Linked DNA regions of Notamacropus eugenii. The protein of the gene in region 1 purifies or fractionates together with the protein of each later gene. This does not show direct contact. Links are inferred from orthologs where the notes say so. Each region holds a gene or a part of one and is shown on either strand. Other genes may lie near its edges.

Region 1 (7,686 bases):
GCTCATCAATGTGGCTCCATCAGCACCAAGTAGTTGAGATGCGCCATAGGTCTTTGAACCATAAAAAACCTTCAGGACATCATAAAAGCACTTTGGTTTGTTACTATCAGCATAAAATGGAATTCCATCTGTCTTCTTACTAAGTCAAGAATCCTGCATCTCTCTAAGCTTCACTTGCACTTTACTTTTTTTTTGAATTGCTTATCTTTTTTTACTAAATTATTTTATTTGTTTTCAATGTCCTACAATCACTTCCATATAACTTAGATTTTTTCCTCTCTCCCCCTCCCTCCCTAAGATGGCATATAATTTTATATAGGTTTTACACATACATTCCTATTAAAATACATTTTCACCTTAGTCATGTTGCATAGAAGAATTAAAATGAATGGGAGAAAGCATATAACAAAACAAAACATAATACAAAAAAAAATGATCTGCTTCATTCTGCAATCAAATTTCATAATTCTTTCTCTGGTTGAGGAAGGCATTTTGCCTCAAGAGTCAATTGGGAATTTTTTAAGTCCTTGCATTGCCATGAAGTACTAAGTCTACCAGAAAAATTCCTTGCACAGTGTGGTTGTTGCTATGTACTAAGTTCTCCTGGTTCTGCTCCTTTCACTCAGCATCAGTTCATATAAGTCTTTCCAGGCTGCACTTTTGATGAAGTTAACCACTGCCTTCTTAGAAACAGATGAACTATCTTGCTGGTAAACCCTGTGGAGTTCTTGTTTTTCATTTAGCAGTTTCTGAATTTCCTCATCATTTTCATCAAACCAATCTTGATCTTTGTGAGTGTTTTGGCCCAGATGAGTAAACGCAGTGCTGTACACCAAATCTCTGAAAGCTGCCCAGTCCTGTATGAAGACCTGGAGCCCTTCGTCATCAATACTATAGCCAACTGTGTGTTGGTTCAATTTTCTCTCCAAGTTAGCAATAAACTCTTTATGCCTGGAGAAGTACTTTAGCCCATTGACATTAAGTCTTCAGGTAGTTTTCTTGCCTTGGGGCCACCACTTTTGTTGAATGTGAATGTTTAGCTTGAAAAGGAAGTCTATGATCAGTCCAGCACTCTGCACCACACATTGTCCTCATCTCTCTCACACCCTGTCTCTTGTCTTTACAATGATATAATCTATTAAATGCAAATGTTAGCGGTGAGGGGTGTACCCTCATTTAGGTAAACATTGCATTTAGCTAAACAGAAGACAATGTTTGTGATGGGAACGTCATGAGATGCACAAGTCTTCAGTAGTAAATGACTGTTGCAATTTCCGATTCCATTCCTCCCAAGGATTTCCTGCCATATCTGATAGTCTGAGTCTACTCCTGCATTGAAGTCATCCAGAATTATAAGCTTATAAGCTTGTCCTCTTTCAGTATATTGATGATGAGGGTCTCCAGGTCTTCATAAAAATTTTTCCTTGACCTCATCAGGGATCATCAAGGTGGGAGCACAGGCACTGATGATGGTTGCATGGTGTTTTCCTCCAAGTGGCAATCACATTATCTTGAACTAGCTGTTCATTCCTTTTGGGAGGCATACAAGCTTGTTCACTAGATTAATTTTGGTTGTGAAACCTACACCAGCTTCACAATGCTCCCTTTCATTGAGGCCACTCTAGAGAAACATGTAGCTGGCTCTGACTTGAGTGAGCTGGACTTCATTTGGCAGCCTTGTTTCACTCAGGGCTGCTATTTGGATAGGATGTCTGCTGAGATCCCTTCCAAGAGCTGTTCATCTTTCAAGTCTAGAGGATTTCATGTTGTTTATAAGTGTGCACACATTCCATGTAACAACGGTGAGTGGAATCATCTTCACAAAAGATTTGGTACATTTTTTTTGGTGTTTTGACTACAGGGTGGGATTCCTACTTGCCTTGGTAAGCAGGCCAGAGTTGGGGCTTATACCCCAAGCAAGCAATCAATAAGAAAAAAGTGCCCATACACTCCAAAATATTTATAGCAGCTCTTTTTGTAATAGCTAAGAATTGGAAACAAAGATGCCCATCAGTTCAGGAATGGGTAAACAAAGTGTGATATGTAAACAGAGTGGAATATCAATGTGCTGTAAAAAATGAAGTATGGGATAAATACTGAGAAGCCTGGAAAGAGTTACATGAACTGAGGAGAAATGAAGTCAGCGGAGCCAAGAAAACCATCTATACAGTAACTAAAACAAGGTAAGTGAAGAGAACAGTGGCACACCACAAAGTCAAAAGTAGACGTAACATGAGTGTAAAGTTCAAGCAGCATTAGAGGAAAAGCTAGAAGACACTCCTGACCTAACCTTCTGCAGAGGAGGAGACACACAGCTGGCACACACTGCCCACAGTTTGGGACTTTTTCAGTGCATCCATCAGTTGTACTGGGCTTTTTTCCCTTTCTAAAAATACTGTTTGTTCTAAGGAATGGCTGACTGTGCACAGAACATCGCTCATAACCTTGGACTCTATCTGGAGCACTGTCATCCCAGAGGCCAGCACTGAGTTGAGTGGCCATTCTGCTGTAGTCTCTCCTCACAGGGACTAAGATCTAGGGTTGGAAAGGACCACAGATACCATTTAGTCCAATGCTCCAATTGACAGAAGAGAAATCAAAAGCCTGAAGAGGAGAAGATCCTTGCTCAAAGTCACAGAATTTTGCAAATCTAGACTGAAAGGCAGGTGGAAAACTCTGAGGTCCCTCACTGAGGAGAATGCCCATTCCTGACTCCACTCTCCCAAATGAATCGAGAAATCCCAGAACCTCAGAGCTGAAGAAAGGCCTCTGTGACCAGCCCATGTGTTTCAAAGTGATGTTGGTTGATGATTGGTTGTCCTCAGTGAGGTCACAGAGTTCAATCAAAGATATATGAAACCATCCTTCCCCACTATTATGAATGAAAAGACATGAGAGATTGAATTTTTGGATAATTAATAGTCAATTTATTAATTAGACTAGCTAATAATCAATAAATTGATGACCAGTGGTTTCTCTTGGCAATTAAAAAAATATGGAGAGCCTGAAAGCTTTAAATAATCCCCGAAAGGGAATTCCCTTGACAACTGAAAAATCAACCCTTACTGGTGGATGTTTCATGAGGAGGTAGGCTAGAAGTCTTCAGTGCTTCCTGCTGAGAAGTGTCTGGATCACGAGCCTTAGCCACCTCCAGCACTCTGGACAGGGGAATCCAACTCCATCCAGACCACGCTTTTCTCCTTCATTCGCTGGCTACCCTAAACTCTAATGGAGTACCAGGAGAGGGGCACATTTCCTCTGGGGTAAGGGCTCACCTAGACTGGATTCTGTTTATTCTCCAGACACAAGCACGCATCCAAGATTGAAGTGCACATACCTCAATAGCTAGAACAATCTCATCAATCAGCCATGTCCTTTAGAGACAGACTTTTTACAGGATCTGGGCCCCAGTGAAACAGCAACACAGATGAAGAAGCCTGGATCTTTGTTTGAGAATTGCTTACTAATATAACAGAAAAATGATTTCTCTCACCATTCGTATCCCTTTCTTGGCCTCGAGCAAACGCCTGCCTCTGAGGACATTTCCCAACCTTGTCAACATTACAGCTCTGTCCAGAATGGGTTGGACCCCTTGGGTAGTGGGGCTTAGGACTGGATTCAGCTTCTGGTCCAGGCCCGCCTGTCCCGGGGCAAGGAGCTCTGCAGTTAGGAGGCTGAGAAGAGGCCGGCCAGCATGTTCTGAGCTTGCCTTCCCACCAGCTGAATCATCCCCAGGCGCCTTTCCGGGCGGTCGGGGTTCTCTCATTCTGTTTTCCTTCTTCTTTCCTGTCTCTGTCTCTCTTGATTGGAGGCCAGGAGCACCAAGCAGTGCAGACTCTAGGTAGAACAGGGTGAAGAGAGTCCCCGGGGAGACAGGGCCGGGGCACTGGGAGGAGCCTGGGGTCCAGGTCCGGACAGCAGGGCTCAGGGTACCCACGAGGGCGGAGTTGTCCAAGAACGCCTTTGGAGCCGGGGAGCCGCCGTCAGCACCACGGCCAGCGCCTCCTCCCAGGCCGGCCCCACCAGGCTCGCCCTGGCAAGGGAGGGTGATCTGGGCGCCCGGGCCTGCCTCTCAAAGGCCCCGCTTCGCTCCTGCAAAGGAGGCCTGGGGGGGCGAGCCCCGGAGTCCGGCTGGGGCCCAGGGGGGCCTTTGGGCCGCGGGCCTCCAGAGCAGCGCCCCTGCGGGCATCGGGGCAGTGCCCGGGAGGAGACTGCGTTGGGGGAGGCCGCCGCCCGCTGCCCGCCCCCCGCCCGCGGCACCCAGGGAAGGCCGGCGGCTCTCCTGGGTGTTACGGCTGCGGGGACGCTCCCTTCCCAATCTGATCGGTCGGTGCCCATGGGGGCGGCAGCGCTGTGGGGACTCGAACTCGGGATCTTCCCCCTGATTGCCCCTCCCCCCCGCAAGCCCCGCCACTTCCGGGTCCCTGGCTGGCTGGACCCCGGAGCGGGGAGGAAGCCGTGAAAAGGGAAGGGACCCCCCCCCCCCCCCACCCCGGTCGCTGTAGACCACGCCCACACCCGGCGCACAGGCGCAGACATGGCTCCGGCCCCCGCCGCGCGCAGGCGCAGCTGGGCCCCACCATCAGCGCGCAGGCGCCCTGGCGCCGTGCCCCGGAAGCAGTGTGGCTGAGCCGGCCCCGGGAAAGCACGTGGGTCATTTGGCCCAGCGGCTCAACATGGTGGGGACTCGGAGCCTGCGGAGAACGCGGGGATCGCGGGCGGCGGCGGCGGAGCAGGCGGCGGAGCAGGCGGCGGCGGAGCTGAAGCTGGAGCCCGCGGAGGCGGCGGCGGCCGAAGACGAGCGGGGGGCCGCCGGGGCGGAGGAGCGAGCCCCCTCCCCCGCCGCTGCCCCTGCGCCGCCGACGCCTTTGCTGCAGCAGAGCCGGGACTTCCTGGACCTGTTCTGGGGCATCGCCAAGCCGGCCCAGGACGAGCGGCTGGCGGCCACGGCGGCGCTGGTGGAGCGGCTGCGGACGCGGCCCCAGGTGCGGCCGGGCCGGGGGCCGGGGGGCCTGGGATCGGGGCTCCGGGGATCGGGGATCGGGGAGCCGAGAGTCGGGGGTCAGGGCGCCGGGGGCCGGGCCTCATTCTCCCCTCCTCCCCCCTCCGCCCCGCAGGGGGCCGAGCTCCAGTACGCCCTGAAGCGGCTCATCGAGGGCCTGGGCGCCACGCGGGAGGCGGCGAGGCCGGGCTTCAGCCTGGCCCTGAGCCAGGTGAGGGGGGCCCTGGGGGAGGGGCCCTGGGGGAGGGGCTGCTGGGGGGGACCGGGGCGGGGGGCCCTGGGGGAGGGGCTGCTGGGGGGGGCTCCGCCTAGCGCGCGCTCTGGCAGGTGTTGCAGGCCCTGGAGGACGTCCCCTTGCGCAGCGTCTGGGAGCAGATCCGCGAGAAGCACGACCTGGAGAGGAAGGTGAGCCCCCCCCATCCGGGTCCCTGGAGCCCCCCCCCCCCATCCGGGTCCCTGGAGCCCCCCCCCATCCCGGTCCCTGGAGCCCCCCCCCATCCCGGTCCCTGGAGCCCCCCCCATCCCGGTCCCTGGAGCCCCCCCCCCATCCCGGTCCCTGGAGCCCCCCCCATCCCGGTCCCTGGAGCCCCCCCCCCATCCCGGTCCCTGGAGCCCCCCCCCCCATCCCGGTCCCTGGAGCCCCCCCCCATCGGGATCCCTGGAGCCCCCCCCCCGTCCGGGTCCCTGGAGCCCCCCCCATCGGGGTCCCTGGAGCCCCCCCCCCCATCCGGGTCCCTGGAGCCCCCCCCCCCCATCCGGGTCCCTGGAGCCCCCCCCCCATCCGGGTCCCTGGAGCCCCCCCCCCCCATCCGGCTCCCTGGAGCCCCCCCCCATCGGGGTCCCTGGAGCCCCCCCCCTGTCCCGGTCCCTGGAGCCCCCCCCCATCCGGGTCCCTGGAGCTCCCCCCCCCTGTCCGGGTCCCTGGAGCCCCCCCCCATCCGGGTCCCTGGAGCCCCCCCCCCCTGTCCGGGTCCCTGGAGCCCCCCCCCATCCGGGTCCCTGGAGCCCCCCCCATCCCGGTCCCTGGAGCCCTCCCCCCCCCCCCCCCCATCCGGGTCCCTGGAGCCCCCCGGGCGCCTAGGACTCGGGCTCACAGCCTCCCTGTCCTGCAGAAGCGCCTGCGGAACGCCGCCTTCGGGACCGTGTTCGGGGTCCTGGCCTTGTTCCAGTCCGGCCGCCTGGCGAAGGTGAGCGGGGCAGGGGCCCTGGGGGGCTGAGGGGCCGCACCCGTCCTTGCCCGCTGCCCACCTCCACCTCTGCCCTTTCCCTGCGCAGGACCATGAGGTCCTGGTGGAGGCCGTCCAGCTCCTGCGGAGCCTGGCCCGGTACCGGAACCACCTTCAGGACCTGCCTCATCGCACGCTGGTGGACATCCTCCGGGAGGTGAGGCCGGACAAGAGCAGCTGAAGGGCCCGGCTTTACGGAGAGGGAACCTGAGGCAGCTGGCCGCTCCCGGCGCCCCCTGCAGCCTTGCCTCTCCCCCTCAGGTCTCGGAGCCCGTGTTTAAGGCGGCCCTGTTGAGCGTCCTGCAGGCCGACTTCTCCTCGGCCCTCAGCAGCCCTGACCAGCTCCAGCTCCTCCTGGTGGGACTGCAGAGGTTCCCAGGTGTCCTGCAGCCCAAGAAGCTGAAGAAGCTGCTGGGCTCTGCAGCGGTAGTCACCGAGGAGACCGTGCCCAGGTGTGGCTGAGTGGGGGGAGCCTGGGCCAGCCTGGCAGGGAGACAGATGGCCAGGGGCAGCTCCTGGGTCAGGCCTGCCGGGTGTGAGAGAGCTTGCCTCTCGTGGGCGTCCGAGGCTCTGAGCCTCTGGGTTTGTCGGGCACTTCCCCATGCAGGTCGCTGCCCTGACAGCTCGGGCAGCCCCTTCTCCCCTTCTTGGGCCCTCCGTTTCCAGATCCATCCAGTGGCTCAGACTAGAGTCAGGACTCCTCCCTTGGGGTCCCAGGACGTATTTATACTTTCTTTTTGTTTGCAAACTTCTCTAGGTTGGTGGAAGTTTTAAACGCTGCAGCTAAGACTGTGAAGAAGGAGAAGGTACTGCCCCCTGTGGCACTGGATCTGATGCGCATCGCTCTCCAGGAGGGCACCTTTGAGCTCTTTTGGAAGGGTGTGGTGGAGGATGGGCTTCTTCAGGAGCATTCTGGGCCCAGCAGGTGTGTGTCTGGCAGGCTTCCCACCCCCCTTGTCCTCAGACACCTGAGCCAGACCTGGCCAGGCCCCTCACATGGCGTCTCTCTAGCCTCAACTTGTCCCGGGGGGGGGGGGGGGGGGGGGGGGTGCGGTCCCATAAGTCATCAGGTCAGGCGAGCTTCACTGGAATCGAAGGACATTGGGGGCATGGTGGTGGGGAACAGACCCTCTGAGGAGGAAGAAGAGGCTTTGACGCCCTCGTCCCTCCCCAGTTACACGGCCTTCCGCCTGCTGGGCAGTGCCCTGCCCTTGCTATCATTGGAGCAGCTCCACATGGTCCTCCACGGAGAAGTGATGCTTCGATATGGTGACCACGTGCTCTCAGCCCAGGTAGACGCTGATGCGTATGGGGTGGGGGGAGTGGAGGGTGCAGAGCCAGCTTCTAGCCTGGCCTGGGAAGCCAAGGCCAGGGAGGGGCACAGACCTGAGCTGGAACACTCCCTCCCTGATTGTCCTCGTCCTCCAGCTCCCTTCAAGGTTCAAGTTTGCCCCAGAG
Region 2 (7,493 bases), about 330 Mb from region 1:
GTTGGGCTGGCATACTTTTCAGGAATGCATATAACTTTCATGCTATAATCAGACTAAGAATTTGTGGAGAAAACCTAGCTAAAGTTAACCTAGTTAAATTCAAACGTCATCTCCATCAAACTCTTCTGGATTCCCTGCTGGTAATGACCAAATCGAGTGTCTGCTTTCCACCTCTCTAATGTACTTGCTGTGTAATATTATTATGATGATGTTATCTGTGTTTTATCTCCTTACTACAACACAAACTCCAAGAGGTTAAGAATTATGTCTTATCCAATGTTATATATTTCCCAGTACCTAATTAACAAATATTAACAAATCTCTACTGATTGGGCCAGAAGGAACCTTTTAGGTAATGGTGGGAAAAGTGTTTCAGAAAATATAGCCTAAAACCAGAAAAACAGGAAATTGAAGAAGGAGTAAAACTAAATCTGCAGAGATTAAACATGTTTAGCTCTAGCCTTTAAAATGTGGGCTAAACTAGTAGAGGAAACAATGTGGAATAGAAAGTAGAATAAGGAAAAATTTTGGTTCAAATTTCTCTTTTGACATTTAAGCATTGTGCAACAATGCAAAAGTTATCACAGTTATCACCTAAGACTCAATTTTCTTATCTATATAATTGTGATAACATCTGTAGTGCCTACTTCACAGGGTTATGGTGAGGATTGAGTGAGATCATGAAATAATCTTTGTAAACCTTAGAGTAACTATTACAGGGTGGTTTGTCTTTTTGTAAGCCTGAAAGTCAACTATGGACAGTATTCGTACTTTCTAGTTCTATGTAGTGTCTTGGAGTGGGTAGTGGAGAGCTATTCACAGGCATGGAAGAAATCACTGATGATTCATGTGGCCTCAGCAAATCTCAATAGGGCTGGATACTATTCAAAGTAAGCACACAAACTGGCTAAGTCACGCCTTCATTAGCACTTATATGTACACAGTATTAGCTTTCAGTTACTCCTATGCTGCTTTGTAATTACCTTCCATATATTGTACATATATGGTTTTTTCCACTGTGAATTACTTGAAGGATTTTTATATTTGTACGCTACCAGCAGTGATATAGTACGTAAGCCATGGAGTCCTATGGGACTTGCTTTCAACACTCTTCTGTGACACAGTATGTTGTGTCTTGTCCTTCACTGTATCTCTGGAATTGCGTCTTCCTTTGGAGTTAAGGTGTTCACCTATTCTATTCTGATTAAACAGTGCTTGATTCCGATGTTGCAAGGGTCAAGCCTTAACTAGTTATGTCGCAGTGCTTGACCTCCATGGATGCTATGAACAGTTTCCTATTATAATTTTGACTTTTTTTGCTGACTCATCTTGCTTACAATTTAATATAAAGGACATGAAGCATCAGTCACCTTCTGTGTAACTAGTCAGAGCTGTCAGGACCAAAGCATGCCTGGCACCATCCCGCTTGTTTGCTGTTTCCATGACCTTTATGCCACTAAACACCGCACTCTGGGAATCCTGGAAACTGGGACTAACAGTGTGGCTGATCTGCATTTGCATGACACCGTACCGGGTCTATCAAACAACTTGATTTGACCTCTTTGTAGTAAGCATAAGATGTATCTTCCTTTACTCAACTCCAAAATCTCAGAAGTATCAGCCTATAATATATTATCAAAGAATTATGTATATAGTAGGCATGCAAAATATTCAAAATTCCTGCTACTAGTGCAATTCACATCTGAAGAAAATTACTTGCATAGTACTTTCCCCCCAGGCAGTTGATGGCACAGCGGATAGAGCACTGGGCCTCGAGTCTGGACTACCTGAATTCAAATCCAGCTTCAGCTACTTATTAGCTGTGTGACTCTGAGAGAGTCCCTTAACCTGTTTGCCTCAGTTTCCTCAATTGCAAAATGAGGATAATAGTAGTACCTACCTCACAGGATTGTTGCGAGGATCAAATGAAATAATATTTGCAAAAAGTGCCTAGCACAATGTCTGGCACGTAGTAGGCACAGTATAAATGTTTATTCCCTTCTCAATTTGTAAAATGAACACAAACTACCTTCATGTTTACTGTATGCACATTTTACTATTCTCTCAGTAAAATGTCTATCTGTTACCTCTTCTAATCATTTCTAGAGTCATAACTTTTCAGATAAAAGGTCTAAGTAGAAAACAAGTTGTTATCACAGGTTTTGTCTCATCTAAAATATGAATATTATTCAGACATTTTAATCTTCATAACCTGGAGAACCTAGCATTTATAACAATTGCTTCATTTGGACTGCTTGTTTACTTCAGTTTATCCCCTTGAAATTTAAATTCCTACTCCCTCAGACACAGGAATTCCAAGTCATTATAGAATACAAGGAAAACAAATCCTCTCTGGAACAAAAAAATGGCACCTACCTTTGGCAAATATTCTCTTTTCAAATGAGAGAAAGAAACAAACTTTTATTTAGCACTTTTAAGTTCAAGGTTTTACAAATACCACACTTTTTCCACACAACAAATGTGGGTGCTAGGTGCTATTATTATCCTCATTTTACAGTTCAGGAAACTGAGGTAAACAGAGGTTAAATGATTTGCCCAAGGTCACATAGCTAGTAAACGTCTGAGGCTGCATTTGAACTCAGGTTTTTCCGACTTCAGGTCCACCTGTCTTCCTGTTCCACCTATCTGCCTCTCTGAAGAAAACATAATCATGTTATCCTTTTTCAAATATGAACTTGGTAATGCAAACTTCCTTATGTTAAGGAAAGGATTTTTACTATTGCTGAAATTCTCTTGTATATTCAAAAAGAAAAAGCTTTGTTGTTTCTGATCCCGGAAAATCATCATTAATTCTTAATAGGAAAAAAAGAAACCTTTAAGAAAAAAATCATCTGTCTACAGAAACTACCAATTCATAATAAATCAAACACCTCTCACTGTACAAATTCAGGTACCTGAGAGTGAAAACAAAAGAAATTCTTTTGATTAGAGCTTGATGCCATCATTATACACAATTATAAGGAATTTCATACTTTTCACTTCCATAGCACTTATTTATAAGGAAAAACTTACTGGCAGAGGAATCACCAATTCACGCTCTTCCACCAATTAAGCGATTTTCAGAGAACGTTAGAATGGGAAAAAATCTCGGAGAGAATCTAGTCCAACGCCCTCATTTTACTGGAGGAGGAATCTGAGGAGCAAAGCCACGAGGTGACTTACCTAGAGTCCCATAACTAGTTACTGACAGGGCAGGGACAAAACCTATTTCCTGACTTCCTGTCAGTCACGCGTTCTTCCCCGTACCCCAATAATTCAGTCCTGTGGCTCCCTACTGTGGCCAGGAGGGGATATGACTCCTTTGGCATTTAAAGACTGTCACAAACTGGCCCGTGCCTATCTTCAGTCTTACCTCCCCTTCCACAGACACTGTGGTCCTGCCAAAACGACTTTCTTCTGGTTCCTGAGACTAGGCGTATTCCAGCCACCTACCTCGAAGCCTCTTGGTACGGCCCTTCTACGTGTCCAGGATGTTCCCTCCTCCCCCAACTCAGGCTTTCTGAATCCCTAGTATTTGCATATTTGTTACAAGATTTCTCCCCTCCCCCCACCATGGGAGAGGAATAAAGTGGGAAACAGAGTACTTTTATTAATAGAAAAAAAAGAAATTTAATTTAAAAGCCAGCCGGGATCTTTGGCTTCTTTCAGCGCTCAGCTCTGCCCCCGTCACCTCGTCTGTTTCGTACACATCTCCAAGCGTCCTGTCGTCGTCCGCCCCAACCCCCAGCGTCTCCGAGCGCAGGCCCGTTTTGCTCTTTGTATCCCTAGCGCCCAGCAGTGCCCGGCCTCACAGCAGAAGCTTAACAAACGCTGGGTTATTGATCGGGTAACACCCCGAGGATCACGTGGCACAACTGGGCATCCCCTCGCACGCAGGAAGGCTTTCCGAATTACGAGCTAATCTGAAGGCCCCGGGTTCAAATCTATGACCTTGGACAAGTCACCTAACCTCTCTGGGCCTCAGTTTCCTCATCTTTAAAACTTCGAAGGTGGCCTAGGTCACCCATTCCTACTCTTCCTCCCCTCCCTCAGGCCCGCCCACCTAGTCCGGGGCGGTGCCAGCCGCGAGCTCCTACGGTGGCCGTGAAGGACCCCTCCAGAACCGCAGCGGCGGCCCAGCCTCCCTCCCAGCTCTGGGCGAGCCCAGAAGACCCGGACGAGGGTGCAGAGATCAGAAAGGCGGTGTGCGAGGCCGTGTCTTTCCCGGTCCCGGTCAGCGACCGCCCGAAGAGCTTCCTTACCCCTCCTAGCGGGCGCGTGCCCTCCTCCTTCTCGGGCTCCTTCCGCTCCCGCCGCTCAGCGGAGCACCTAGGGCTCCGCCGGCGGCCGCTGGGCCCCGCGGTTTGACAGCGCCCTGTATCTCAGAGCACTTCCGGTAACGTCACTTCCGTGCGGAGAAGATGGGGCCGGAGGCGGGGCGGAGGAAGAAGGGAAAAGCGCAGGTTGCAGTGCACGCATGCGCGCATCTTCCTGCGTGCGTTCCCCGCCACCAACTCGGAATCGGGGAATCCCAGATAGTCGGCGTGGACTGGAGGCGGGAGGCGGACTTGCGGGACGCGCCGCCCCGGGAGAGCCCACGTGCTGGGCGCGGGCGGTTGAAACGGTTCTCTGGCGCGCGGCGGGGGTGAGTGGTGGTGCGGTGGGGCGGGCTGAGGCCGCGGAGGCCGGGGCCGCAGCCGGGGGAAGGGGCTGACTGGCGGCGGTTCCCCGGCTCGGCTCGGAGCCCCGGCGTGGACCACGGCGACCCCGATCGGCCTGCGCCCGGGCTGCCGAGGGCCAGCCGAGCCGTCCGCCGCCCTCGAGGTACAGCGTGGGGGCGGGCGGGGGCCGCTGCCCAGGAAGACCCCGGGGTGGATGACTGGGGCGATGGACGGAGTCAGAGGACCTGGGTTCGAGTCTCCGCCGGGCCACGCTGCAGCCGGGCGGCCCCAGCAAGTCCTTGTTGGGTCGCTTTTAGTTAAGGACTGACTGGCCCTCCGGAGGCTGCTCCTGCGTGTGGCCCGAGCCTCGGGGCTACTTTGTTAGGAGTCGCGTAGCGTCCGTGCGATCGTGAGCTGTAGCCACAGTGTCAACGTTTATGCGGCCCCTACCTCGGGGCCAGGCTCTGCGCTAAGCGCCGTACCGTTACTGTCCCTTTTCGTCCTCACGGTGGGAGGCACGTGCCGATGTTATCCCCATTTCGCAGGTGAGGAACCCGAGGCAAACGGATTTGAACTCCAGTATTGTGGGCTCCAGGCCGGGCGCTCTATGCGCGGACACCCAGCTGTCCTGGCAAGATGCCCCCGCCCCTTTCGGGGGGGACCTAGTGACCAACGGTTCTGTTTAGCAAACCGTTCAGTTTTTGAGAGGTGTGTAGTCGAAAAGGTTACCAAGATAAAAAAAATTACGTCCTGTGCTCAAAGAGCTTACCAATCTGGGGGAGAATAGGATGTATACGCAAGCATAATGTAAGGTAGACTGTGATCAGAGCACAGGAGGAGTGCCAAGTAGCCTGAAATGAAATTGATCCAAGAAGACAGTGGCTTTTGGAGGGTAAGAGTGCATCTGTAAAAAGAGAGTGTTGGACTAGCTCCTGACCCTTTCTGTTGTATTATGCTGAATGTGTAAGTTAATTCCTTGAAGATTTTGACAGGAAGGTAGAGAAAGAGACTTGGGGCACTAGGCAACTAAAAGATGAGTGATGAGAGATTGCTGCCAAGAAGCGAAAAGGACATCGAGAGGAGGCCCTGAAAAACAACTGACTGTGTTTCAGTTTTGTCTCCAAATTACTCATGCATGCATGGTGTGTTGGGGGGAAAGGTTTGGATCTTTGATTTTGTAGGGATTCTGGATGCAACTAGTCTGTCATTTTATGTCTTAGAGAGTTGCCTGAGACACCAAGAGGTTAAGTGACTTGTTCTAAATTACAGAACTATTACGTGTCTGTGACAGGCTGTGAAATCTACCTTTTATAACTACTACACTGGACATTGCACCATAACTGCCTCTCCTACTTTATCTGTGTCCCTTTCATATAATAGGCACTTAATAAATATTAAATTAGATTGAATTTTGAGAATTCAGGAATGCCTCCTTAACATGATGAGACATTACCACAAGATTTTAGGAGAGGAGAGAGAAAAAGTGCTTTCCTTTAGGTCACACAACTTGTCAGTGACATAGCTGGAATTAGAACATCTCCAAATTCCCAACCTGTGCTTTTTGCACTAGGTCACACTACTCTATGGGATAAGTCCTTGTTTCACTTCTTTTCCTAAGTGTAGTGCTGCATAGTCAAGAGGCAGTGTGGTACAGTAGAGTGCCATCTTGAAGCTAGTGTCCTGCCTCTGATACTGGTTCCCTAACAAAGCTCCAAGCAGCTCTCCAAGACTGCATTACAGAGATGGTGCCTAAGTGCATTGGCAAAAGGAGTTTTCTCACCCAGGAGTTCCACAGGTTCAGTTCTCATGCTACAGTAGTGCAGTCATGGACTGAAATGGGAAACAAATGTTACACATAAAGTATGTCCCTCTCTTACAAGGATCCGCACTATTAATTTTGCCTTTCTTTGTATCCCCAGTGCTTTGTACAGGTTGTGGAAAATAGTAGGTGTTTGAAAAATATTTGTTGATTTGTACCACTGAGTATTTTTACTTTGTAGTTTAAGTAGAATTTCTTTAGAGTTAATACTTGGTTTTGCCCAGTCATAAACTGAGAAAAACAGGATGCTATTCTTTCCTGCATGTTTACTGTTTTACAGTGTGAAAGATACTTAGGGTTATTTTTATGGCTCATATTGGGCTTCTAAAGAAGAAGTAAGCTGATTACAAGCATTATCTTATTAATCCATATGAATAACAAGCAGGTGACAAATTGTTATCTCCACTAAGTGTGGAGCAAAAAGACAGCCTGTAATTTAACCAAAGTTCCAGAACATGTCTGAAATTGTTTTCTAAAACAGCAACTTCTAATTTAGGAATGGATTATTGTGCAAAAAACCTCAAAAAAAATTTTTTTTTTTTATAAAAAGGATGTTAGACATGGTGTTGAGGTTCCCTTAGGGCAGGGCACCAAAACCTTTATAAAATTCATAACAGAACTGAAGTTTAATATAGTATGTTGTAGTACTATTGAGTACTGTTGAGCCTAAATATCAAACATAACAATATTCTATAGAAAAATACAGTCAGCTTCTAACTTGGGATACCAGGAATGCGTTAAATTCTGGCAACAGAATTAAGAGAGTCACTTTCCCCGAACTCTCCCAGCTCTAAAAGTATTTGCATGGCCTGGGACTGAGATTCTAAAGTGGAAAGTGTGTAAACAACTGGAGAGGGAATTCTGGAGTGAAGAACAGAAATGGAGGTAGTGGCTGGAGGATATATTGAGGGACGGGACATTTCCCCTTCCTTTCCCATTAGCAGTGCTGAAAACCTTGGGCTGGGAGAGTGGCAGGAGGACAGGGCTTTTGAGACCATTGTGTCCTCTTCTCA

Evidence for each region.
Region 2: the proteins of MYBBP1A (region 1) and LYAR purify together in Homo sapiens (affinity purification with mass spectrometry; 3 studies listed by BioGRID and IntAct, with this or other methods). This does not show direct contact. The link is inferred for Notamacropus eugenii from reciprocal best matches to the Homo sapiens genes MYBBP1A and LYAR.

Annotation. Positions count from the first base shown.
Region 1 is NC_092877.1:388,002,236-388,009,921, reverse strand, and holds the start of MYBBP1A (myb-binding protein 1A), read left to right. Parts: upstream 1-4,650; 5' UTR 4,651-4,676; coding exon 4,677-4,985; intron 4,986-5,117; coding exon 5,118-5,213; intron 5,214-5,329; coding exon 5,330-5,407; intron 5,408-6,114; coding exon 6,115-6,189; intron 6,190-6,277; coding exon 6,278-6,385; intron 6,386-6,489; coding exon 6,490-6,680; intron 6,681-6,985; coding exon 6,986-7,153; intron 7,154-7,402; coding exon 7,403-7,520; intron 7,521-7,656; coding exon 7,657-7,686. UniProt on the Homo sapiens protein: May activate or repress transcription via interactions with sequence specific DNA-binding proteins. Repression may be mediated at least in part by histone deacetylase activity (HDAC activity).
Region 2 is NC_092877.1:62,021,339-62,028,831, forward strand, and holds the start of LYAR (cell growth-regulating nucleolar protein), read left to right. Parts: upstream 1-4,417; 5' UTR 4,418-4,645; exon of another isoform or gene 4,646-5,206; intron 5,207-7,493. UniProt on the Homo sapiens protein: Plays a role in the maintenance of the appropriate processing of 47S/45S pre-rRNA to 32S/30S pre-rRNAs and their subsequent processing to produce 18S and 28S rRNAs. Also acts at the level of transcription regulation.